Schizosaccharomyces pombe: one gene and its partners. Changing the gene in region 3 together with the main gene of any one other region gives a genetic interaction. Each region holds a gene or a part of one and is shown on either strand. Other genes may lie near its edges.

Evidence for each region.
Region 1: of pck2 (region 3) and sts5, extra expression of one rescues a mutant of the other (dosage rescue), as found in Schizosaccharomyces pombe (one study listed by BioGRID).
Region 2: mutations in pck2 (region 3) and ags1 impair growth when combined (synthetic growth defect), as found in Schizosaccharomyces pombe (one study listed by BioGRID).
Region 4: of pck2 (region 3) and rga4, changing one suppresses a phenotype caused by changing the other (phenotypic suppression), as found in Schizosaccharomyces pombe (one study listed by BioGRID).

The regions. Positions count from the first base shown.
Region 1 is NC_003421.2:677,796-684,586, reverse strand, and holds sts5 (Dis3L2-like 3'-5'-exoribonuclease), read right to left. Parts: upstream 4,753-6,791; 5' UTR 4,226-4,752; coding exon 1,025-4,225; 3' UTR 504-1,024; downstream 1-503. UniProt on the Schizosaccharomyces pombe protein: Required for the maintenance of cell shape during interphase. Required for localization of cortical actin to the growing tips before mitosis.
Region 2 is NC_003421.2:1,371,409-1,376,122, reverse strand, and holds the start of ags1 (cell wall alpha-1,3-glucan synthase Ags1), read right to left. Parts: upstream 3,027-4,714; 5' UTR 1,952-3,026; coding exon 1-1,951. UniProt on the Schizosaccharomyces pombe protein: Required for alpha-1,3-glucan and alpha-1,4-glucan production which are required for cell wall synthesis.
Region 3 is NC_003423.3:2,308,618-2,314,736, reverse strand, and holds pck2 (protein kinase C (PKC)-like Pck2), read left to right. Parts: upstream 1-1,728; 5' UTR 1,729-1,899; coding exon 1,900-4,950; 3' UTR 4,951-5,300; downstream 5,301-6,119. Other genes in the region: SPOM_SPBC12D12.05C (calcium-binding subfamily carrier protein), read left to right, coding at 1-68; DNA polymerase zeta Rev7, read right to left, coding at 261-460, 530-633, 682-797, 840-952, 993-1,043, 1,087-1,113, 1,163-1,193; chaperonin-containing T-complex alpha subunit Cct1, read right to left, coding at 5,301-6,119. UniProt on the Schizosaccharomyces pombe protein: Involved in the control of the cell shape. Target of the inhibitor staurosporine.
Region 4 is NC_003423.3:1,837,520-1,843,720, forward strand, and holds rga4 (Rho-type GTPase-activating protein Rga4), read left to right. Parts: upstream 1-1,896; 5' UTR 1,897-2,103; coding exon 2,104-2,190; exon of another isoform or gene 2,191-2,327; coding exon 2,328-2,383; exon of another isoform or gene 2,384-2,525; coding exon 2,526-2,875; exon of another isoform or gene 2,876-2,938; coding exon 2,939-5,247; 3' UTR 5,248-5,668; downstream 5,669-6,201. Other genes in the region: SPOM_SPBC28E12.02 (BICC1 family RNA-binding protein), read left to right, coding at 1-799; protein Cbp7, read left to right, coding at 5,942-6,201. UniProt on the Schizosaccharomyces pombe protein: GTPase-activating protein for Rho-type proteins.

The DNA of each region.
Region 1 (6,791 bases), on a different chromosome or scaffold from region 3:
AATATTTTTAACTTTTTTTCTATTTTTAAAGAGTATTTCATTTAGTTCTCATAATTTCTAAGACTTTGTGGATTAATAATTTTTTATAATCAGTATAGCATGCGTATACATCAAAATATACTCGATATCGAGTTAATACACTTGGTAAACAAAAGCCGATATAACAAGGCAGCGTTAAAAATGAAAAATAGTAATCACTAAGAATATTTGTAGAATCCTTTTCTTTTTAATATCTTATGCCGTTTTCATATCATAAAATAGGACATGAGTAACTAACACATCCCGGATACGTTTCATAACTATAAATTTGAATATTTTGTGTAAGAAATGAACTTAAATTGCAAAAAATCAACTGAAAATTGCTAAGATGTCGTCCAATAGTAGATTCATTTTAAAAAAAGAAACAAAAAATAAAAGACTCAGCTAACCCCAAACGACCGATAAGAATCCACTTCTGATTGCCTAATCGCCGCAGTGATTGCAAACGCAAACGACACTTCATCTACTGGTAAGCCAACAAAGTGACATGTATCAATATAAAAGCAGGATTTCATTTTTGAAACAAAATCCAATCTAATGTATAAAAAAGGAAAAGTTCAAGGTATCATCAACTCATGCACTCATAAAATCACGTATCGAGACTACTGGATTCCTTCATCCAACTCTATCATCGTGAACTATCGTAATCAAGTTTAATCATCCTTTTAGTTATATAACATAAAAAATCGGCATCTTAGTGTATAAGATTAAACCGAGTTTTCGAGCTCCTTGGCTATGCAAAACTTGTAAATCTCCAGAAACAAATATTAGACGTAAGTAACAGCTTCGTCGAAATTAAAGAGAAAAGTAAGAATGGGAAAAAATGCAGTTTTAGAATCGTAACATATTTTTTATCAACAATGCCTAATAATAAGAGCAATAATATGAATGAGAATATAAAGCCATTCCAGGCATCCGAAAATGAACATGTGTCACCAAAAAACACATACATGAAATAAACATTGCAAACAATCGAAGTTCAACATCAAAACTCGACATTTGAAACGTTGATAAGAGGTGGAGTCGAAAGCTGCACAAAGAGCTTAACTTTGACAGAGGTCAACAATTTAACAACTGTAACGGCTCCGCTCTCGTCGTATAAAGATAAAATGCCCTGGTCCTCTTCAAACCTTACGTGGGTTAGATTGAGCAAATCTAAATGAACACGTTTCTCCATGCCTAGAGATGGGAAAAATACGTCAAAATATGATGGAGCAACAAAACATACGAGACCGTCTTGCCAAACCTGACTCTCCGCCCAGTCACTAAATATTTTTATATGAATGCTAGTTTCTTGCGCAAATTTGCTTATAACCAGACGACGGCTTGCATCGTTTGCCGCTTGCGACCATACACGAAGGCGCTTTTCAGAAGCCAGTTCTCCTCTCAAAAGCAACTGCAGTTGATAATGAACTACAATATCACCATAACGTTCCAAAGGTGCTGTAAAATGTGTCAAATCGTCACTTTCGTCCTCAATACCAAGACTCATCATCTGGGAAGCGAGATTGCCTTTATACTTCTGCATTTCATAAACTGCTCTTGGGGTAACCTTATAATAATAAAGCTGCAAAATGTTACGAACAGTATCGTCTTCGATCAAACTTAAAGAGCGTAAAAGTGATTTTGTCGAAGACAAATCTAAAACACATCCCATCTGAATGGCCATACTTTGTAATATGCGACAGTTTTCTCGAGAGGGCAATCGCTGAGTCCTAAGGAATGCATTTTCACGGAATTCCTGACGCAAGTGGCTTGCAACGGCTCTATTAGCGGCATCCAAAAGAGTTTCACGTAAAACTTCAACCGCCGAGGAAATAAAAAGATTCGTTTCATTGGGATCAAAGCTGCAGCTTTCTTCATCCCATCGACGTACTAACCTACAATACCGGCTGAGTGGCACGTCTGTACCAAGATGATGAGTTCGTAAGCGACTGCTTACGGTATGGAATAAACGAAGTCTAGCATCAGTTTGAAGCAACTCATCAGCTTCCTTCATGGTATATGCCTTGCGAGGACGAATGACAGCCCATCCAATCCAAGTGCCACGAATTTTACCAGTTGAGGAAACATCCAGTAAGAGAGACATTGTATAACAATCCTTATCTTCTCGTAAAGATAAAGCCTCACCTAACGTAGTGGGAAACAAAGGAACCGACTTTTGGCAAAGATTCACCGCAATACTTCTTCGCTGTAATTCGCGATCTAATGGGGATCCTGGCTCAATAACACGAGAAACGTCAGTAACATGGATTCCTACATGATAACCAGTTGAAGTTGGTCGAATATGAAAGGCAGAAGAAACGAAATCAGTAGCAGAACTAGAATTGATGTTTGATTCATGTTGCTTGACTTCTGAAACGGCTGCTTTGCTAACGTCATTTTTAACAAATAAAAAGACATCTTCAGATCGATAATCTGCACAACCAGCAACGTTTAAAAAATTATCCGATAAAGCATTGAGTGCAGTTACGGCGGATGTAGCGGCGGATCCTTCCCATGGTTCACTATGAACACCCGTATCGTGTAATAAAGCGGATACTTGAGCAGACATAGAGTCCATAGATCCTAATTCACCAACCAACATACCAAAAGGATGTAGAGAAGTTACAGGCCAACGCTTTATAGAAGCTAAAAACAATCGTTGAGCATATGCTTGATCGTTACCCAAAAAGTCTGTGGGTGCTTGTTCAGTAGGAATTGCAATCAAAGGCACACGTTTATCAGATGGCTTAAACCATACGATTTTGGGCTTGTCATTTCCCGAGTTATTGGAAGAGCCTTGATTACCCGACGAGGTCTGCCTCTCCTTATTAGCGGCACTACTTGGCCGAAGTATGCCAAGCGTACCAGAAAATACCTGGCCTGGCGCCCTCTGCAAGACTGCTACGACATGACCAGCATACTTTGGCTTTTCGTCCGCACCAAGCTGCTTTTGGTCAAGAAGGAACAGGGTCTGCCCTTCCACTTGTTCATCATCTCTTGCTTTTATAGCAGACCTCTGAGGAACCTCAAACGGTACGGCGTCAATTCGAAGGTTGTCAAAAGAGCCTCTAGTAGAAATTGGGTCTTTACGCCTTCGATTCTCTTCCTTTTCAAGTTTACCAGCCCATACCTCGTCAACGTCTAACAGCTCTATGGCAACGACATCACCCTCAAGGGCACGATTGCGATCTTTCGAACCACATATGAATACTTCCGCATCCAAACCATCGACACTAACAAAAGCGTCTGATCTATTTTTCTTACTTACAATTAAAATACCCGTTACCAAACGACGCTCAGCGAGTAGAGCAGGAATCGATGACTGTGGTAAATAAGGAGAAAAAAGATTTTTACGGGGATTACCTGAACCTCCCGAAGAAAAACCAGAGCCAGAGGAGCCAACACTTAAGCTGCCAGTCGATCGACGATGACGATGACCACCGCCTTCAGGACGAAAGTTTGAGGTATTATGAGTTACAATAGTCCCAGGAAAAGATGGATTCGCGGCATGAGTAGGACTATTCGTTTGAGAAAGTGATGAAGGACGCCATTGAGCATCCAAATTACGAGGGCGCAATAATTGTGGTAAAGTGTTCAAGGCTGGTAAAGGAGATGCGTTGTTGACTGGAGGAACGAACGCATGGGGAGTAAACGGTACGGCGTTATGGGAATTGGGAGAGGAAACAGAAGCAACACTATGGCTTTTTGCATGCCGCCTTGGACTAATGTTCGTAGATGTAGCAACTGATGGATTTAAGCTAAACTTTGAAGGAACGGTCGGACTGTTAGGGAAGGAATCTGAAGAGGCAGAGACCGAAGTGGTGAAGAAATTAGTAGGGTATAAGGGTTGACCGCCTTGAGTCGGTGGTTGCATATTAGAAACGGCTGGAGAATTAGAAGGAATAGTGGCTTGGTTGGAAAAATTGCCCATACCAACGCCAGCACTAGCACTTCGACGATGGCCATGAACAAAGGACGATTCAACGGCGGGTAAAAGACCAGTGTGTCGAAGCTGATGCATGTGCTGCTGTAACGGTAGCCATGTGGGGCGATTAGCAGAGGGAGTGGTTTGTAACCAAGGAGTGGTGAGGGAAGGGTTTGCAGAAGGAACAAATGTAGGACTCGATTGCGCATCAGAAGGATCCTGTTGCTGATTAAGCATCACCTTGTAAGGAAAGTCATTTTCAAACTCCTCATCCATGACACGAAAAGGGTAGTGAGAAAAGAAGTATTAAAAGTTAAAGGAGCAGTGGGTTAACAAAAAATAAAGAATATAAAAAGAAACAATGAGATCGAACGAAAAAAGAAGTCGCTAGCAAAGAAAGACTGGCTAAGGCGAAACGAGGCACAAGATTCGTAATCCAAATTAAATACGTAGACCCCAACTGATAAAAACGGTTGCCTTTAAAGATATCAGGAAACGATCCAAAAGATAAGTAGAAGGAAACCCCAAAAAAAAAGAAGAAAGAAAGAAGTAAACGGGAAAACGAATGTTTACGGATAAAAAAAGCGTCTTATTAAGGAAGGTTGTGGTTCGAGAAGTGAACGAAAAACCAACAAAATTAAGAAAAGGAAAAAAAAGAAGACTGGTCCGTCAGAAGCGAAAGAGTTAGGCGGCAAATGAAAATCGCCGCGAAACAGTCAGCCCCAAAAGGAATTTTAATTCCTCAAATGTCAAAATCGCAAGGAATGAGGAAGTATGAAAGTGATCAGTGGTAGATCCTCGTTAATTAAGGAAAAAAAAAGGCCTGCTTATAAAAATCCCGATTCTACCGTAATGAATGATAAGAACGTAATTCTCACTTAACAAACAAAGTTAGTTGGTAATATCTAATACTTGAATTCCGAGGCGATCCGCAAGCTGGCAAACTGATATATACGGAGCGCTATTCGTTGTATCGGTAAAAAGAGGTAGGCTAAGAATGCACAGGGAGAGGGAGCTTAGCTAGCTAGAGTAGAACAGGCGAAAACCACCAGTTTCGCCAAGGAAGTGAGTTGCGAAAGAAATGAACAAAGAAAATGAGTGTCAAAATGGTAGACAAAAAATGGTTTGTTAGGTAAAGCGTAACTCCTAAATATCGTGAGGAATGGCCTCAGCAAGTGTGAAAAAGGAACAAACAAAGACAAAAGAGGGTATCAAAGAGAATATCGACTTGAACGATGAAATCTTAAGCTGAATAAATAGATTTATAAAATTTCGGTATAAAGCTAAGGCCGATTGAACAGTCAATTATCACAAGAAACGAAAGAATAGACCATTCGCGTTGAAAACGATGACTTGCGGACGATGGAAGTAAACTGACGTGTTCAGTATATAGGAAAAATTCATTAGCGTAGTGCGTTCGAAGACGTTATACAATCGATGATAAGAGTGTATGAAGAATTGATTAAACAAGAAGTTTGGAGGGAATGAGAAAGTAAGATGGAAAACGAAAAATTTGGCAAAACAAAATTAGTAGTGAATTACTGTTTATTAATAAAATTCGTTTTTGACAGGCAATTATGTGTTTCTCTTTGCTTTGAAAGTTGGTTTTTACCCACAAGAAGATTCTTACATCGGATATAAGAAGAAAGAAGTAGCGAAAGGTGGCGATCCAAGAACAGTAGCGCTCTTGAGCAAATTGGTTTGAACTACTGATTCTTTTGATTTTATAAATTATCGTTAATCGACCGGGCAAGCTTACTTCAACCATAAATCGTGGACAAAGTAACAACTGACATAAAAATGATGAGCATACGAAAATAGACGAAACGAGCAAAAGGCGAAAATAAGTAAACATGGAGCAACAAAGTAAATTTGGAAAGAATGAATTTCTTCAAACTACTCAATGAATAGCAATCGCCCTAGAAACATGAGTAATTGTTTGAATTAGTGGACGACTCAGACACGCATGGTAGGAAGACTGTTTACTCTATATAAGGATATTGGCAGCAACACATAAACCGCTACAACGATAGATACCGAAGACATTAAACTATTTTTACGTATATTTGTGCATTTTAATGAAGACATTAAAATTCGTTAACGACGTGCGCTGAATTTTTCGATTTGAAGAGGAAAGCATCAAAAGACTTAACAAAGTATTGAAAGAATGAAGCTCTTCAATAATATATTAGAGGCTATTTAAAAAATTTGAAGAACCTTGGTAATAAAAATCGGTGCAGCTTCATAATTATATCGTCGTCCCTACCGATGTCAATCATAATTAATTGCTTTCTTCGTAGGATAGAAATGTAAACTGTAGAACGTAAAACTTAAGAGGAAGGGAATTAGAAACATTTATTATATATATTCCTAACAACCCTTAAAGTGTACGAGTTTGTCAAAGAGCATGATGGGACTTTGACTTTTTTTACCTACCTATACTGCCCCAAAAGGACTCATGGCAGAAATAGGCTTCAAATAAAGTACAATAGTGATTACTAGCACAAATCCTTATTTTTTATTACTGGAATTTGCCGATTTATTATATGAAGATAGCGCGATTGTACGTTGATAAAGAAACGAATGGAATAAGGCACATCACACCAAAATCTTATGTGACAAAAATCTATCACAATACATCATTATACAAACACTACAGTAACGAAATTTTATATTATGAGTACCTGTGAATTTCTCTATTTTATTTATCGATACAACAGAGCAACTCGTTTTTCTTGTAAAAAGTAAATAAATTCAATTTAGTAAACGATTTACGAACTTCTTCTAAGTTACGACATATTGCATGGAAGAACGTGAGAATGTTTGTTGGTCCGCTCTGCCT
Region 2 (4,714 bases), on a different chromosome or scaffold from region 3:
TATCGTTACGATTCGCGTAAAGAACCCAAACTTCGGATTTCGAGACATTAGAGGCATTCGTAATTGAATCAAAGTCCTGAATTTCTTTCATGGGGCCTCTCAAAACACTATACAATCCCATAGGGGACGCATAAGGCTGACTGTCAGGAAAATAAACATCATCTGTCCAATTGGCTATATGATCAAATCGCCATCCTTCGCTCAAACTAAGATAATGTCTTCGGATGCTATGAATGTTCCTATAAACATTACGATGAGCAGAAGCAATATCAAAGTGATCCAGATAATTCCAGGAATCCTGACAACCTCTTTGTGCAGGTGACAGATCCACGGTTGGATAAGATGTAGCAGAACCATTGTAACAGCCGTGAATATACCAGGCCCTGGCGGAGTTCATGGCTTGACGTCCGTAAAGATAATTATTTGCAGAGTTATCCAACACATACATACCTTGTTCGTCGCCATAATACAGAAGCGGAATACCTGGAAACAGCAAAGACGTAATCATTGTACCAAGGATCAAACGAGCAGTACCATTTTCAATAGCTCCCCATCTGAACACATCGTGATTAGCAACGCCATACATATGTAGAGGTTCTACTGTTCCTGTGTTTATATTGACAGCATCTTCGTTAATTTGAATACCGTTCCAAGCTGTGGTAAGTACTGAGGAAACATCAAAATCAATTTCCATCTTTGAGTCCATACCCAGAAAACGTAATAGAGCACGATAAATAGAGTAATGGAAAGCTGAACCGTCAAATCCATAATGATCTGAATCTCTCAATGAGTACTGCGATTCATCAGATGTATAATTAAAAGCTGCAGTTACATTAGGGGGCCGCTGATCAGGTTGACGGCCACGATTGTAGTATATAGAACCATAGCTAGATGAGCCAGTAACTTCACCAACGATCAAAAAGTTCTTCTTATTGTATTTCGCCGCGCATTCACGCACATACATCGACCAATCCACAATAAAATCAGCAGTCATCTGGGTAGCCTTATCAATACGGAATCCATCGACATCAAGCATAGAAATCACCAAACAAGAAAGATGCATTAATTTTTCTGCAACATCAGGTTTCCAATCACGAAGACGATCTTGGACGGATGCGAATTTTGACAATTGACGCTGCCAATCCGGATGGGAACCGAAAGCTTCAGTATCACCGTAATGATCATAGTCTGAAACATAACAACCTTTAAATTGAATAGAAACAGGACCACCATCTTCACCCCAAAACCTTGGGTATTCACATGAAGTATTATAAACGTTAGTGAAGTTAAAATCCACATATCTATATTCAGAAGTTTTCCACATGGCATTATACTCATTTAAGTTAAAATCAACACCAGATGTATCATTAAGATGGCCAACCATACCGATTAAATCACCAAGAGTGGCAACCGTCAAATCAACAACCAAATACATGCCCCTTTCGTGCATTGCAGTAATAGTTGAACGCCATTGATCGATAGTTCCTAAATGGTGATCAAGAATAGTGTAATCCAAAGGAGAATATTGATCAGCTCCCCAGGGCATATTGACAAATGGAGTACCAGCAATATAAATACCTTGTGTACCTAAACCTTCAAGATAATCCAATGATAACTCGAGCCCAACGATATCACCGCCATTACGAAAACTGACTTCCGAAATATCATATTCAAATGGAGTTTTTTCAATATCATTATTGGATGGATCACCATCATACCAACGATCCAAAATTACAGTAATAAAACTCATTCGCCAGTTATCAGGGCTTGGAAAGAAATCATGATCTGCCCATTCACCAGAATACTCCAAAACACTGGAAGCGTTTTTGTTTTGATTTAAATTCCAAGGCTCTTCATCCTCGGAATATGGAGCAGCAAATACGGAATGAAAAAGAAGAAGTGCTAAAGCAATAACAGCTCTTCTAAAACATAACCCTTGAAGACCATGCATAAGAAAGACTCAATAAATGTGACTAGCTGTACGTACGGCAAAAAGATAAAAAAATAAAATGAGGATGTAAACGAGAGAATCGTATAGGGTGTTTAAGTAATTAAAATATAAGAAAAATAAACAAAAAACCCGAGGAAAAGGAAAGATCGTAAAAAAAGGTTTTTTGAAAATATGCAAAACGGAATGATCTGAAGGAAATTTTTTGATCAATACTACGGAAAAATCAACAGCTATTAACTTTCTCAATTATTCACAGGGATAGCGTTAAAGAGGAATCAAAACCTGCTATTGAGACAAAAAAGAAAGAGAAGATAGATAGCAGAAAGCAAATAAAGGGGGAAATGCAAGCGAAATGATAAAAGAAAGGATCGACAAAACGTTAGAAGGAGGAGATGAGATACGGATATTAATAAATCACTTATGAACAGTGCCAGTTAATGAAAGCGTAACACTAGAAAAGGGGAATCCCCCGATAAAAAAGGAAATAGCAAATAAGGAAAAAGGAAATATATAGATTCCGTTTTAAATGTTTACTTATTTGATAATCCCTACCTCAAAAAGAGATGCCTAAAGGAAAGATGAAGCGGAACAGGGTATACGGATGAAAAAAAAAAGGCCAAGAAACACACAAGTCTAGAAGAACAATACCACCTGTATATATCCAACCCTTTTAAAGAAAAGAATGAAATGAAACTTGGAAAATATTTTATATCGAATAAAAGGAGGAAGTCGGGTCTAATCTACTTTACAACAAGCAAGCTTATCGACAATCCACCAACGTTAATAAATGAAGAAAAAGAGTTTTTGATGGAAAAACAAACAAAAAGAAATAAGAGAAAATCCAAAAAGAGGAACAAAAAATAAAAAAGAAATTAACGAAGGAGGTTGAGAAGAAAGAAAAAGAGAATGCAACGTAAAAGCTGAACTTTATACAAACCGTTAAAGAAAAAAGGCTCTATTGCAAACACGGGAATGGTTTCCAAGAACGGCAAGAGTATGTAAAAGTAAATTACTGTCACAACACTCTCTGATACAGCCGTTTTCTCCTTTCTAGTCGTTTGTGTAGCTGTTTGGTAGAGGAAGAGGTTGAAAACAAATGGAGCAGTTAGAACTCGGCAAAGCTTTGCTTGTGCAATAAAAATATTGGCTTTGTAATAAAAAAACTAAGCCAAAACATCCATTGTGAGTTGCCTCGGAAACGATCGGTGTCTATGAAGACATGATTAGGCTTAGTATATTATAACGATGTCCGAAAATATCGTTGGTTACAGATAACGATAACGGAGTGTGCTGCAGCGGCCGGGTGTAAACAAATAAACAAATATAAATAAGCTAGTAAATAAAAGGAAAACGTGTAAAGGATGCTTATTAATTTTTTGATACTTTTCTAATTATTACTATGAAGTTTTTTTTGTTCTTGTTTATTTTTAACATTTACGTCTACAAATTATCTGATCTATCATCGATGTTACCGTGCAAGCAACTCGAGAACCTGATGTTCAAAGAAAACTAGAAATTAAGGTATTTAAAATAAAACTAGGCACAAATTTCTCTCAGATTCACTTTTTTTAAAAATCTAGCGGTTTATGTATACGGGAGTATTTAGCTTCGAATGTATATCGGAGTGGTACTCAGTAGATACATTTGGCAGCGATAAGTTAATTCTTTAAACTTTTTTTCATTCTCCTAATATCAAATAATATTTTTATTTTTTATTTTTTTTCTTTCTTTTTCTTATTTGTTTATGAACAAAGTTTCCTTTAAATGCGATACTGGCGAGAAATGTTGCTTTTTATGAACAAGTGTATGATTCATTCAATCATTGATCCTTCGTGCCATACATTTTTTATTGACATATCTGGCAGTTCAATAGAAATAAATGTTTCTAGCGTTCTTGGATATTCTGCCTTTTGATTGCTTCCTTCGTCAAATCCAATTCAAATTTATTTAAGTTGGTGCACTACATATTTACAAGTTGGATGTAACCAGCATTCACAACATCGTTGGTGCGTGCAAATCTAAAATCGATTTAACTTTTAACAATTGAGAACTCTATATTCTGTCAAAGATAGCTAGTCCCTTGTCCCTGTCTGTTTTTTGACTAAATTTAAGCATCCATCATAACATGCTTAAACGGACGTTCCAAATAATTTTTCCAAGCGTTTTACCAATTTCATGAGAGGCAACTTAACATCATTGTGATCTCGGCAGTTTGCGATTTCTCTTAATAACGATATGAAGGGGATTTTATGAAAATTTTCTTCCTACCACTGAAAACTATCGGATTTTCGTCACAGTCTTAGCCCCCGGATTTTTGCACCTGTGGGGCTTGCCAATTTGTATGCTTTTGTATGGCTAAATGTAGAATAGCGTATTGTCCAAATCTGCTAAATGAATTAGTGATGCACGGAAGGAATCGTTTTACAAAGATTTATGAGATTTTTAGGAAATTCGAGGTAAGAAGTGTAAAGCGGTAAAAATCGCTGGGAAATGTAAAAGAAATTGCTTGTGTATGAATACTTGATGCCTTCTACCTTCTTTTAGCCCACTCGGTTTATCTACATATGCAAAGTGTGCCTTCTTGGGGAACAGTATTTTTTATAACGGTACAACGATGCATCAATTTTAAAACGCCGAATACGAATTGTATGTAAATAGAAGAAAAAGAAAAGTCCGAAAAACATCATATGTTTGAAGTATGCTATTGCTGTGCCGATAAAATGAAGTAGTTTGATTGCCCGTGATTAATAGAGATGAATTGCT
Region 3 (6,119 bases):
TAGCACCTAGTGTCGCTATTTCATATCTGGTATATGAGAATTGCAAAAAATGGTTGGGCCTAGAGTAAGGCACATTTTCTAACTATTTATAATTCTTATTGGTAGGGACCTTTACTTCAAAATTAATAATTCTTTCATTGATAATGATAATCCTTTATCGCAAAACTGATTCTTTATTTACTTTACCTAATCCCCTCTTATTTCATAGCAGATACCCATTTTTCTTGCACTACATTCTGAAAAGAAAATTAGAGATACCTCTAATCCGAATTTGTATATTTCTCGACCCAAATTTCCGTCATCATTGGTCCAATATCCACATTTCGAACAGGAATGGTGATGCCCTTAAATTGCCTTGTTGCGTCTGTTTCTCTCGCTTGCGGCGGAAGAAACCACTCTTCCCATTGTTTTGGTCTGGGAAAACCATCTTTTAGCGTTACCCGAAGCGTCCAAGTGCATTCTAATTTCAGTATTATTAGAATTGAATTTAGTAATAGAATATTTTTTTAGAAAATAATACTGTTTATACCTTGTTCAATAAGAGGAAGTCCATTTGTTATATTGAGTAATTGGATGAGCGAAGCTCTCATGTATTCAACGTAAGCATCTGTGAATGGCTCATTTGTTGAAATTCTACAATATTGTTAAAAGATGCCTATGCCAAGCTAATGATAGTCATACTGTTTCTCAAGTAAGAAATCAGGAATAATCGGGATAGAATCCGTTGAAAAGACATATCGTTCCTCTTCTCGCTGCTCTTTGTTAATAATAGAGAGTGCAACTTGATGTACTGATCCCTAGACGAGCAGTTAGAAAAAGAATTGGATGACTAAGAATACCGTCTGAAGCTCCTCGATACAAGATTGCACTACTTCTTCAATATATTCGCACAAGATCGGATGCCTTGATTGCCAGACAATTGTATTGTATTTTCGAGCTTTTATAAAAAGGTCTAATATGAGAGTTAAATCAAAAGCTAAAAAATCGAATACCTTGAGGATAGAGTCTTCTAGCGTAAAGAATACAATGAATGCTTACAAGCACTGAATTGTAAGCAAAAATGGAAGTTCAAAGTTGCACACATACAAAATTCTCCAAATATATCAATACATTCTAATAGTTTAGCAAGCAAAAGACCCAAATAATCATACTAATAACATACTTTTCACAGACCATCCTGTGTCGTTTTCCATCAGACATGAACGATACGATGATTACTATATTCAAAAATTTCTTAATATGTTCGTTCAAATTCGAGAATTCTATCTTTTCTGAATGAAGCGAGAAAATAAATAAATTATAAAGTTATTAAACCAAAGATATGCAAACTAAAAGAATATCAGCAAACATAGTAATTACATGGATTACAATAACGTACCCGCGATTATTGACGGGATTCCGTAAAACTAACAAAAGACAAATAAGATAGCTGGATAATGAACTGTTCTATTAATTGGTCAATATTTTTTTATTTTGCGTTATTACAATTTTAGCATCAATCAAATAAAATTGGACATGTGACAAAAATATTTATGGGGTAAAGTTCTGTAAAATCGTTATTTTCAAGATTAACGTGCCAAAATCCTTCGAAATTATAACAGGGGTCGCTGAAAAATTTGCCCATATATTTCAATAAATTTTGAAAAAGGAATGGAGTGGTGGGATTCTTTGAATTGCTTGCGAAATCCCTGCGAGCTTGCCAGTCTTACTTCATAGCTACCGCCTTCCAACTACTAAACGTACGAAAACATCGAAAGGACTAAAGCGGGTGTTTACTAGCATTTTATCGAGCTTAAAAGTCTTAATGAAATCTTATAATCACATTAATATTAAAAACGGAAGCGAAAAATTGCAGATAAGAAGTTAAGCGGAAAAATCAGGATTAGGCCATTTAAAGTAATGGATATGATTGATGAGGCTATAACAGAAGTTGTTAGGAAAATTGAAAGAGAAAGATCAGTTATTCATGGCGCCCTTTCCATGAAGCGCTTGACTCAGAATCAGACAGTTCACCAACAACTTCATAGCAATATTGAAGAATCAAAAAAGAGCATTATTTATTTAGAAGAACGCTTAGAAAAACTAAAGCTTCGCAAAAATGGTGTCCGAAAGAGTAATTCTGAGAAACCGTCCGTTGGCATTGAGAAGAATCCATCCTTTAGCACTACAAAATCCGCTAAAAGCTTTTCCTCTACTTCTTCTAATATCGATTCTAACTTGGATTTGCTAAATTATGATACCCCTCTTACTATTTCAAAGATATCATTCTTATTACAACAATTGGAGTTCAAATTATCTGTTGAGGAACAATATCGAAAAGGTATTGAAAAGATGGCAAAGCTCTATGAGCGTGAACATGACCGTCGTAGTATAGCTGAAGCAGAGAAGAAGTATGTAGAAAGTGCTCAAAAGATTACCTTACTCAAGCAAGCTTTGAAGCGATACCATGACTTGCATATCGAAATCGATGAGGAAGATGTTCCCAGTACGGAAAGTAGAGGTAACTTAAATGCCCGTCGTCCCCAGTCTGGTCTCCTTAAAATTACCGTAGGATCTCTAAGGAACGTCACGCATTCTGCTGGAATCTCCAAGCAAACGGAAATGATAGTTGCAATTCGTGCAGAGGATCTTGAGCGTGCACGTACTCGTCCAAGCCGCACCGACCGTTTTAATGAAACTTTTGAAATTGATCTGGAGAAGACTAATGAGGTCGAAATAGTTGTTTACGAAAAGAAAAATGAAAAATTGCTATTACCTGTTGGTTTACTTTGGATACGGTTATCGGATTTAGTAGAAAAACAAAGGCGAAAAAAGGTTGAACAAGAGGTTTCAGATAAAGGTTGGGTTAGTGCCGACAAAATGATTAATCAAAGACTTTCAATATTTTTACCTTCTGCTCTTAATAATATTTCAAAGCCTGAAAGTACTGACCGCCCCAACACAGCTAGCGGTAATCAAAGTGTGAGTGCTTGGTTTTCTCTTGAACCCATGGGACAAATTAATTTGACCATGAATTTCACAAAGCATAATACAAGGAAGAGACCTATGGATGCTGGCCTCGGTCGTCAAGGTGCTATCCGTCAACGCAAGGAAAGCGTACACGAAGTTTATGGTCACAAATTTCTACAACATCAATTTTATCAAATTATGCGTTGTGCTTTATGTGGAGAGTTTTTGAAGAATGCTGCTGGTATGCAGTGCATTGATTGTCATTACACCTGTCATAAAAAATGCTATCCAAAGGTAGTTACTAAATGCATTTCAAAGTCTAGCGATTCTGCTTCTAGCGAATACGAGAAAATCAACCATAGAATTCCTCATCATTTTGAATCTCACACAAACATAGGTGCTAATTGGTGCTGTCACTGTGGCTACATCCTTCCTTTAGGAAGAAAAACTGCCAGGAAATGTACGGAGTGTGGAATAACTGCGCACGCTCAGTGTGTTCATCTTGTTCCGGATTTCTGTGGTATGTCTATGGAGATGGCTAACCGGGTTATTTCTGAGATTCGTACAACTAAAATTTATAAAGCTCAACAACATAAACAGAAAAGTTCACATCACAAGCATCATCATCATAAAAAGTCTAAGTCTTCATCTTCGAAACATAAGGAAAATGACAAAGCATCCGTTTCTATTACAACCACCACAACACCATCTATCACTCCTGCAGACCCTGTTCCAACTTCTCCAAAACCACTGGCAATTGAACCGGTTAAAAGAAAGCCTGTACATGCCGGTAATTTAGAAGTGACATCAGTCTCTGATAATAAACTTGGCGCTACAGTTCAGGTTGTCGAGCAGAAAGTGGATGACAAAGCTGATGCGTTGACGAAACCTCCTTCCCTAGATGCTGTGAAAGAGCCAATCCCAGTACCATCAGTTGAAACCTCTGTTGTTGCTCAAGACCTAACGCATAAAGCTAAGCGTATCGGACTTGAAGACTTTACTTTCTTATCTGTGCTAGGCAAAGGAAATTTCGGTAAAGTAATGCTGGCTGAGCTTAAAAGTGAAAAGCAATTGTATGCTATTAAAGTTTTGAAAAAGGAATTCATCTTAGAAAACGATGAAGTCGAAAGCACTAAATCCGAAAAACGCGTTTTTCTCGTTGCCAACCGAGAGCGTCATCCATTTTTGGTAAACCTGCATTCTTGCTTTCAAACCGAAACCCGTATTTACTTTGTCATGGATTTTGTGAGTGGTGGTGATTTGATGCTTCACATTCAACAGGAACAATTTTCACGTAGAAGGGCACAGTTTTATGCTGCTGAGGTGTGTCTTGCTCTAAAATACTTTCATGATAACGGTATCATATACCGTGATCTTAAGCTTGATAATATCCTTTTAAGCCCAGATGGTCATGTTAAAGTGGCCGATTATGGTTTGTGTAAGGAAGACATGTGGCATGATAACACTACTGCCACGTTTTGCGGTACTCCTGAATTTATGGCACCGGAAATCTTATTAGAACAGCAATATACGAGAAGCGTTGACTGGTGGGCTTTTGGTGTACTAATTTACCAAATGCTGCTTGGTCAATCTCCATTTAGAGGAGAAGACGAAGAAGAAATTTTTGATGCAATTTTATCTGATGAACCTTTGTATCCTATTCATATGCCAAGGGATTCCGTTTCTATATTACAACAACTTTTGACTCGCGATCCTAAAAAACGACTTGGATCTGGCCCTAACGATGCAGAAGATGTCATGACTCATCCATTTTTTAGTAACATTAATTGGGATGACATCTATCATAAGCGAACTCAACCACCGTACATTCCAAGTTTGAATTCACCTACGGACACCAAGTATTTCGATGAGGAATTTACCCGAGAACTCCCAGTTCTTACTCCTGTTAATTCTATTCTGACGAAAGAGATGCAGCAACATTTTGAAGGTTTTTCTTATTCATGCGAGGATGATAAACCCTCGACTACCGATAATGCTTAGCACCTTAAATTGAGCATAAAGTTACTCTCATTTTCTTAATCTTTCATTGCATTGATAAATTATTCTAATTTCGACTTTTTAAACTAAACATTTTTGGATTTCTTTACTACCTGGGTTGTATCTATGATATTATAAGCATGCACATTAATAATCCATACAGTGGCATTAGACTTTTGTTTATGAAAGCACTAGCAAAGTAGTAATTTACTGAGTTTAATAATTTACCGTTTATTGGTCAACAGCTATAGTGCTAATATATGTTAATATCCATCGCATTTGTATCTATGGAGCAAAATTTTTGGATACATTCAATGAAACCCGCCAAATATACCTATGCTTAAGTAATTGCTTTAGTGCAACCCTGCATGTGGGTCTTCTGGTTGTCTTTCGGGATCAAGTTTGATACTAGTATCGATACGTAAAATAGCAATGCATGCCTCAACGGCGCTCTTCAAACTTTTCAACTTAGACATGGATGGCTCAAGAACACCAGCCTTAACATTATCACGAATTACGCCATTAAGTAAATCAAGACCATAATTTTTGTATCCCCGTTTCTTAACATCTGTAACCTCAGCATTTTGACTGGCTGCGTGATAAGCACGCAACTTAGCTGTCAGTTCAGTAGAGTCTTTGGCGGCATTGACGGCCAAAGTTCTGGGAATAATTAACAAAGCTTGTGCAAACTCAGCAATTGCAAGTTGCTCACGAGAGCCCAAAGAGGTAGCAAAATTTTCCAAGTAAATGCTCAGAGCTGTTTCCACAGCGCCGCCACCAGGAACGACTTTGCCGCTCTCAAGAGTGCGTTTGACGACGCTTAAAGAATCATGCATTGAACGCTCCATTTCATCTAAAGAGTATTCATTGGGGCCTCGCAGAACAATTGATGCAGACGAATAAGCTTTGGTTCCTTTGACAAGAATACATTCATCATCCGAAAATTTTTCTTGAACAACCTCTTCAGCCGAGCCCAAGTAGGAACTTTCAAAGGTTTCTTCACCCTCTAAATTTGACAATGAACTGAGTAAGGTAGCACCGGAAGCCTTGGCGATACGTCTCAAATCTTCCTTTTTGCATCTACGAACAGCCATTGCGCCAGCTTCAATAATGGATTTCAAACAGAGATCATCAATGCCCTTTGTGGTAAGAATAACATTGGCACCCGCATT
Region 4 (6,201 bases), 470 kb from region 3:
TCTGAGAGTTGCTGGTTCTTGGAGAAGAGCGTCTACAATTGAAAAAGGAGTTTCAAGCTCTGAATTGTCCTCTATTGTATCCTCGACTGGCTCCATAGTGGAAACAAATGGAATAGGAGAAAAAATGTCATTCTCTCCTCTTAAGAAGCTAAGTATTCCACCAACAGAATTTGTAGCTCAAATTGCAATAATTTGCATGGCTTCTGGAGTCGAAATGCTCCTAAAAACCAATGGGATTGAATATTTCGGACAAGAAAACACCGTGCCTATAGCAATGGATAAAGCAAGCAAAATATTTTATAAATTTGGACAATCCCAATGGCACCAGATACTGCTTGAAGCCCCAACCAAGGATCAAGATTTCATATCCGGTAAAAAAAATGGAAAACTGGATAAGGTAAAGCAGCAATGCCGTTTCAACTTAAAGAATGGGGACATCTTGTTTTGTCCCCAGTCGACGAGTATATTCACGGTTGATATATATAGTGACGAATTGGAAAGAGTAATTAAAGGAATGAACACAATGTTGCTTGAATTTCCAGCTGAGATGCACTTTTACGTTCCAGAGGAGATTCACAAAAAACTCATTGGATTTCGAGGAGAGCAAATCCAACGTGTAACTAAACTTTATAATAGTTACATTGAATTCTCAACTACTCCTTTTGACTGTTACGGGCACAACGTGCTCATTCGCACACCATCAAAGTTCTCCGAAAATTTGTGGGCCGTCCGATCTTTATTCATTAAGACAGCTGAAGGATTAGGATACGACATCCCGAAGTATTTGTTTGCTAATTGAATTTTAAGTCAGAATCCAGTCATCGACCTGCCCATAGATCACCACACTTTCTCGTTATATTTTTTATGTCCATAACAGACACTCAAGCTGGTTATTAAATTCGGAAACTAAATTTTTTGAAAATCAAAAGTGCTCCACTGTATCAACTTTGATACACATCTTAAGTGCACAATATAATTTAATGAACGTGATCCACGCAGAATTTTGAAGCACATGACAAGTTTAAACTTTAAGCAGTTCAACGATTTGTGCAGGACGGCAACCACTGTTCGTATGCCTTTTTTATTTCTTATTTTGTTAATAAATTGTCATTGAAAACAAAAGATAAAACGTCGATAAACACAGCTAGATTGATATAATAACAACAAACATCTTTTCAGTAAAAAGAAGTAGAAACTGGCACTAACCGTTATTAATCAACTTGCTATACGCTGTGACATCTAACACTCTTTGACCAGTTAATTAGAATCGTATTTGATGAGAAAACGATATTGAGTTAATCCATCCACTTTCTTTGGAATGCATGATGATTAAATTAGTAAATTAAAGAAACAAAAAGGGATTACACAAGAGTTGTTAAACATAAAGACGTCGTTCGACTATAAAAAAAGACGTGTGAACCGTAATGCACCCTTTGCGGTTATTGGGTTTCTTCGGTTTTTTTTATACAAATTATATTACGCTTAACTGAACGAACTAATCAAGTAGCACAGAAACAAGCCACTCTTATTTTTTCTCAAGAGTCGAGCAATACTTCGTTCTCGCTGACAGGATTGCTAATAACACTAACGAAAGATGAACAGGGGGAATGTTGTATAGTTCATTTTTAGTCGTACAATAAATCTCGATAAATTTGTATAAGCAATATCATTTTAAATGTTTCAAAATCTCAAAATAATATGAAGGAAGCAACCATCACTTACACAAAGTATGAAACATAAGGAAACGATATAGAAAGAATCTGGAAAATAAGCAAATATTAATAATAGCTAGATCGAAACCTGGTGGTTTATTCGCTGCAAAGCCATAGCGGTAACAAAAGGAACAAATGCCAGTGTAGCCTTCTATATAAACAAAGGTCCTATTCTTTGACCTCCACCACAAACGGCTACGAGTTTAAAAGAGCTAGCAAATGTTGTAAAGCCTTGGTATTTTTATTTATTTTTTAATCAAGAACAAACTTTGAATAAAACCGTAAAGAGTTTTCTATCTTAGCTGCCGCTCATTTTTTGAGCTGGTGTAATTTACCTATCCATTCTCTTGGGAAACACCTTTCTTTTAATTTTCAGAATATTGATTTCCTTATGAATTCGGGTACGACACTTCATCTGGACAGACTTAGTTTGGAGACGCCATCCGAACGTACTTGTTTTTGTATTAAATGTTGGGAAGTATGTGAGGTTCAAAATTTAATCGCCGTGTCCGGAGAGCGGTCTTTTCACAAAACGAGACCCTGTCTTGAAATTGGACACTGCTCTTTTATTTTTTCCCAGCTGTAATGAACGGCATTTACTAACTTTTGCTCTAGAGTGTTCCCAGTACCTCTCAAGTTTGGTTCGGTGGGAAATGTTGGCATTCCGATTGGTATGATTGAAAATGCAAACGTTGGGATTTTTGGATCTTTTTTTTTTCTTATAGATTGAATAAAAAAATATAAAATGCTCCAAAGATTACCCTTGTTTGTGCTTCTTGTTGTTTTGATTTACTAATTAAGACGGTTTGCTAGTTTTAAATGTGTGAACTGCAACAAAAAATTAGACCCTTCCTCTGAAGATTTTTCTCAAGACGATCAAAAGCAAATATTCTGTAAATTATGTGTTGATATCTGCAACGGTTGCTCAACTCCTATTTGCGAGTTCAACGCAGTAAGCAATAGTCAAGCTAATCATCCTTGTTGCTCCAATTGTCGAGCTTTCATTAATTCAAATGCTTTTGGCAAGTTCAAAGGTCAACATTACTGCCTTCCTTGTTTGCGTAAACAAGATGAAGAGAATCAAAAGGCTGTTATGGAAAGCGCATCAGGGTTTATTCCTCTTAGGAATATCGCACAAACTGCGGAAAACACTTCTTTAACTGGTAAGTTTGTTGCTTATGTAGTATTTATTGATATTGTCTTTATGTTTCTAACTTTAATTTTAGGGCAAAACCAAGGCTTTCAAAACCCGCATTTTATAGCGTCTGATTCTCCATCCTCCGTATTATCTGGTCGAATGCAAAATACCAGCTCTCCTACAAACTCTCTCCGTCCTCAATTAAAAGTTCAAACTAATGGTTATGAAACACCTGGTGATATAAACTCCGCAAAATCTTACAAAGACATCCAAAAGGACTTCTTACTTAAACCCAAAAATTCTTTCGTTAAAACCTCTCCCTCTCCACTAGCTAATGGTCCCTCATTTCGTTCAGCTAATGCCTCTCCATTTGATTCGTGTGACTCTTTTCATTCTGGAAGTTCGATACCAATTGAACCAGTTTCTTCAAGGCAAAGCTCAGTAGTAAATAATAATAGCGTGCAGCAACCTGTTGCTTATCACGCCTTTGTTCAATCACCAACCGAAAATGGTACGCTTCCTCAACTTCCTAAAAATGAAAGCGTTGTTAATCCTCCTCCACTTCGCCGCTCTTCTACTATGAATTACAAATCTGTTTCGACAACAACATCACCATCTAAATATGGATATGTGTCTGGCAGAATAGCTCTATCTCCTATCCATTTAAGGGGTGCTCTTCGTGATGTCACAAATAAATGTAATTTAAAGGTTCCTAGAAATCGAAACAGTTTATCTAATCTTGACGAATATTACGTTAACGGATTGGAAAGCGACGAAACTCCTACAAAGGCTAGATTTCCTAGATATCCTACGGTATTTAATAAGTTAGATGACAAACGACTTAGTAGCGAACCAAACGGCTTGAAGAAAAGATTGACGAACTCTTCAAATTATGAGGCTTCCCCGCGGGCCAAAAGTTTAAATTTGTCGCAAGTTAGTTTGCATCAAGCATGTGAACCTGAATACAATCGAAGTTCTTTGGTTAGAGCAAGTGATGTGTTTACTTCAAACGTATTTGATGCTACAGAGGAAAGCGCAAATGAACTCGCCATTCGTATTTCAGAGCTTCAAGCTGAGGTTGGAACCTTATTGTTGGAAGCGACTTCGTTGGCTTCTATCATAGAGCAGCAGACTCCCGTGTCCCCCGAAGCTTTCAAGCAAGAGTTGGTTGCAGATTTAAATTATAGATTAGATTATTTACGGAAATCTTTTCAACCTGAACTGTCTACCTTACTTTTGAGGCGAGACGCTTTGTCTACGACTGTCTCTAAATTGCAAAACGCTTACAGCACTGTAATGGAAGAAACCGCATATCTGAATGTTAAGAACACAGAACTGGTAAGCCTTAACAATCAATTGGAGAGAGAATTGGCATACTTGAGGGAGCAGCAGCATAAGAAGCGAACTTCTTCCTCTTTCGGAATATTTAATAATGATAAAAAATCCAACCGAACGATTTCAACCCCGTCTCCGCGAGAATCGTTTTCGCGTCTACAAATGGTTGCATCTAGCCTTGGATTTAGACCCAAAGACAATAAAGACAAGGAGAGTGGAGGGTATAACAAACGGAACTCTAAAATAGATCTTAAGAAGTCATTTTCTAAACGGTTTCATTGGAAAAGAGATTCTCCTCACATGTCGAGTACTCCCAGTATTTCTGAAGAACATTTAGCTTCTGAAGAACAAGAGGATTTCGTTCCAGCGGTCGGTCACTGCAAACTTTGCGGTAAATACTCCAATGAGCTTAGAGCACATTATCAGGATTGCGTTAGTTCTACTATAGATCGTCAGTATCAATCTAAAAAAAGCGAATCTCCTGTTTGGGCTTTGAATCCTGACGACTTCGATCAAAACAGGCTAACACTCTTGAGAGTCCCGACGCTTATCGTTTCTTGTATAAATTTTATCGAGTCATACGGCATGGATTTTGAAGGTCTGTATCGCAAATCAGGGGCAACTTCTCAAATGAAAAAAATTGTTGCGTTACTAAGAAATGAAGATACGGTACTTGATCCAAGTGAGGATATTTCTGCTGTCACTTCTGTATTCAAGCAATATCTTCGCAACCTTCCTAATCCAATTATTACCTATGACCAATACTTTCCGTTCATCACAGCAGCAAATTGTGCCTCTTTCCAAGATAAATTAGACGGTTTTATAATGGTCATCAAAAGTCTTCCTCCAGCTCATGCTGAAATTTTGCAGCTCATTATTAGACATTTAGCAAGGGTTGCTGCATATAGTCATGCAAATCGAATGACATCCAAGAACCTTGCAGTAGTATTTTCCCCAACATTAATACGCGACCCCGATAATTCCAGAGACGTTATTGACATGACTGTTAAGAATTACAGTCTTGCGTTTTTGATAGATCATGTACATGAAGTCTTTGCCTAAATTCACACTATCCTTTAATAATTCGCTCTTTTGTTTTGCACGTTCCTTTATATTCTTTATTCGTCTTTTTTTGTTGTTTTAGTAGTTGTACCATAACTTTGGGCAGTTATATCGAGATTCCTTTTTGCATTTGCTAAGATAGTTTCATTTTTGGTCATTTTTAGATGTCATCGTGAAATCAGTGGCAGATGAGTGTTTTATGGATTTGGCGTATAGCTTCTTCATAATGCATTATCACTGCAGACTGACATCCATCGCTTTTATTTAATCATTTCCCTGTTTTAGTCTACTTGGCATTACTCACAATGCTAGGCTATGAATAAAATGCAATTGCATGTATAAAAAAGGAGAAATTTGTATTTTTTTTTAATTTTATTATGCTTTCAAGGATTTAAAGAAGCATTTTTTCCCAAGATCCCTAACTTAGGAAATGCTAGTGCAACGTATTGTGAGTAAGTGATTTTGTAGATATATCATGCCCATTATCTTAATGGAATTCTAAAAAACCAAAAGCAATTCCTATAAACAAAAATTATATACGTTATATGGTAAATTTTTTGAAGGGGGTTAAATAGAGTTTCGAACGTCTAACAAAAAACCAACTCCTGTTTTACTACCACTTTTTTTTGAGAAAAGAGGGTCTTTAAGCAGGATATTTTATTATCTATGTGAACAAAATTACGGAATTTTACTAATGGCAGATGTTATTAAACGATGCATTTTGGGCCCGACTGAAGCCGGCTGGTTCGTCGCAAAGTCTCAAATAAAAAAACCAGTTGACCAAAGACCGGTTATCCTAACCCATTGTAAGCTGCACAGCAAAATGCTAGAGCCAAAGGCGATTGTTTATAAAAAAAATTCATCTGCAATTCCTAAACGAGTTGACAACATTCTTCTTCGAAGTCAAAAGCCCAAACATATAGAATGCCTACTTGTGGACTCTAAAATCACCAA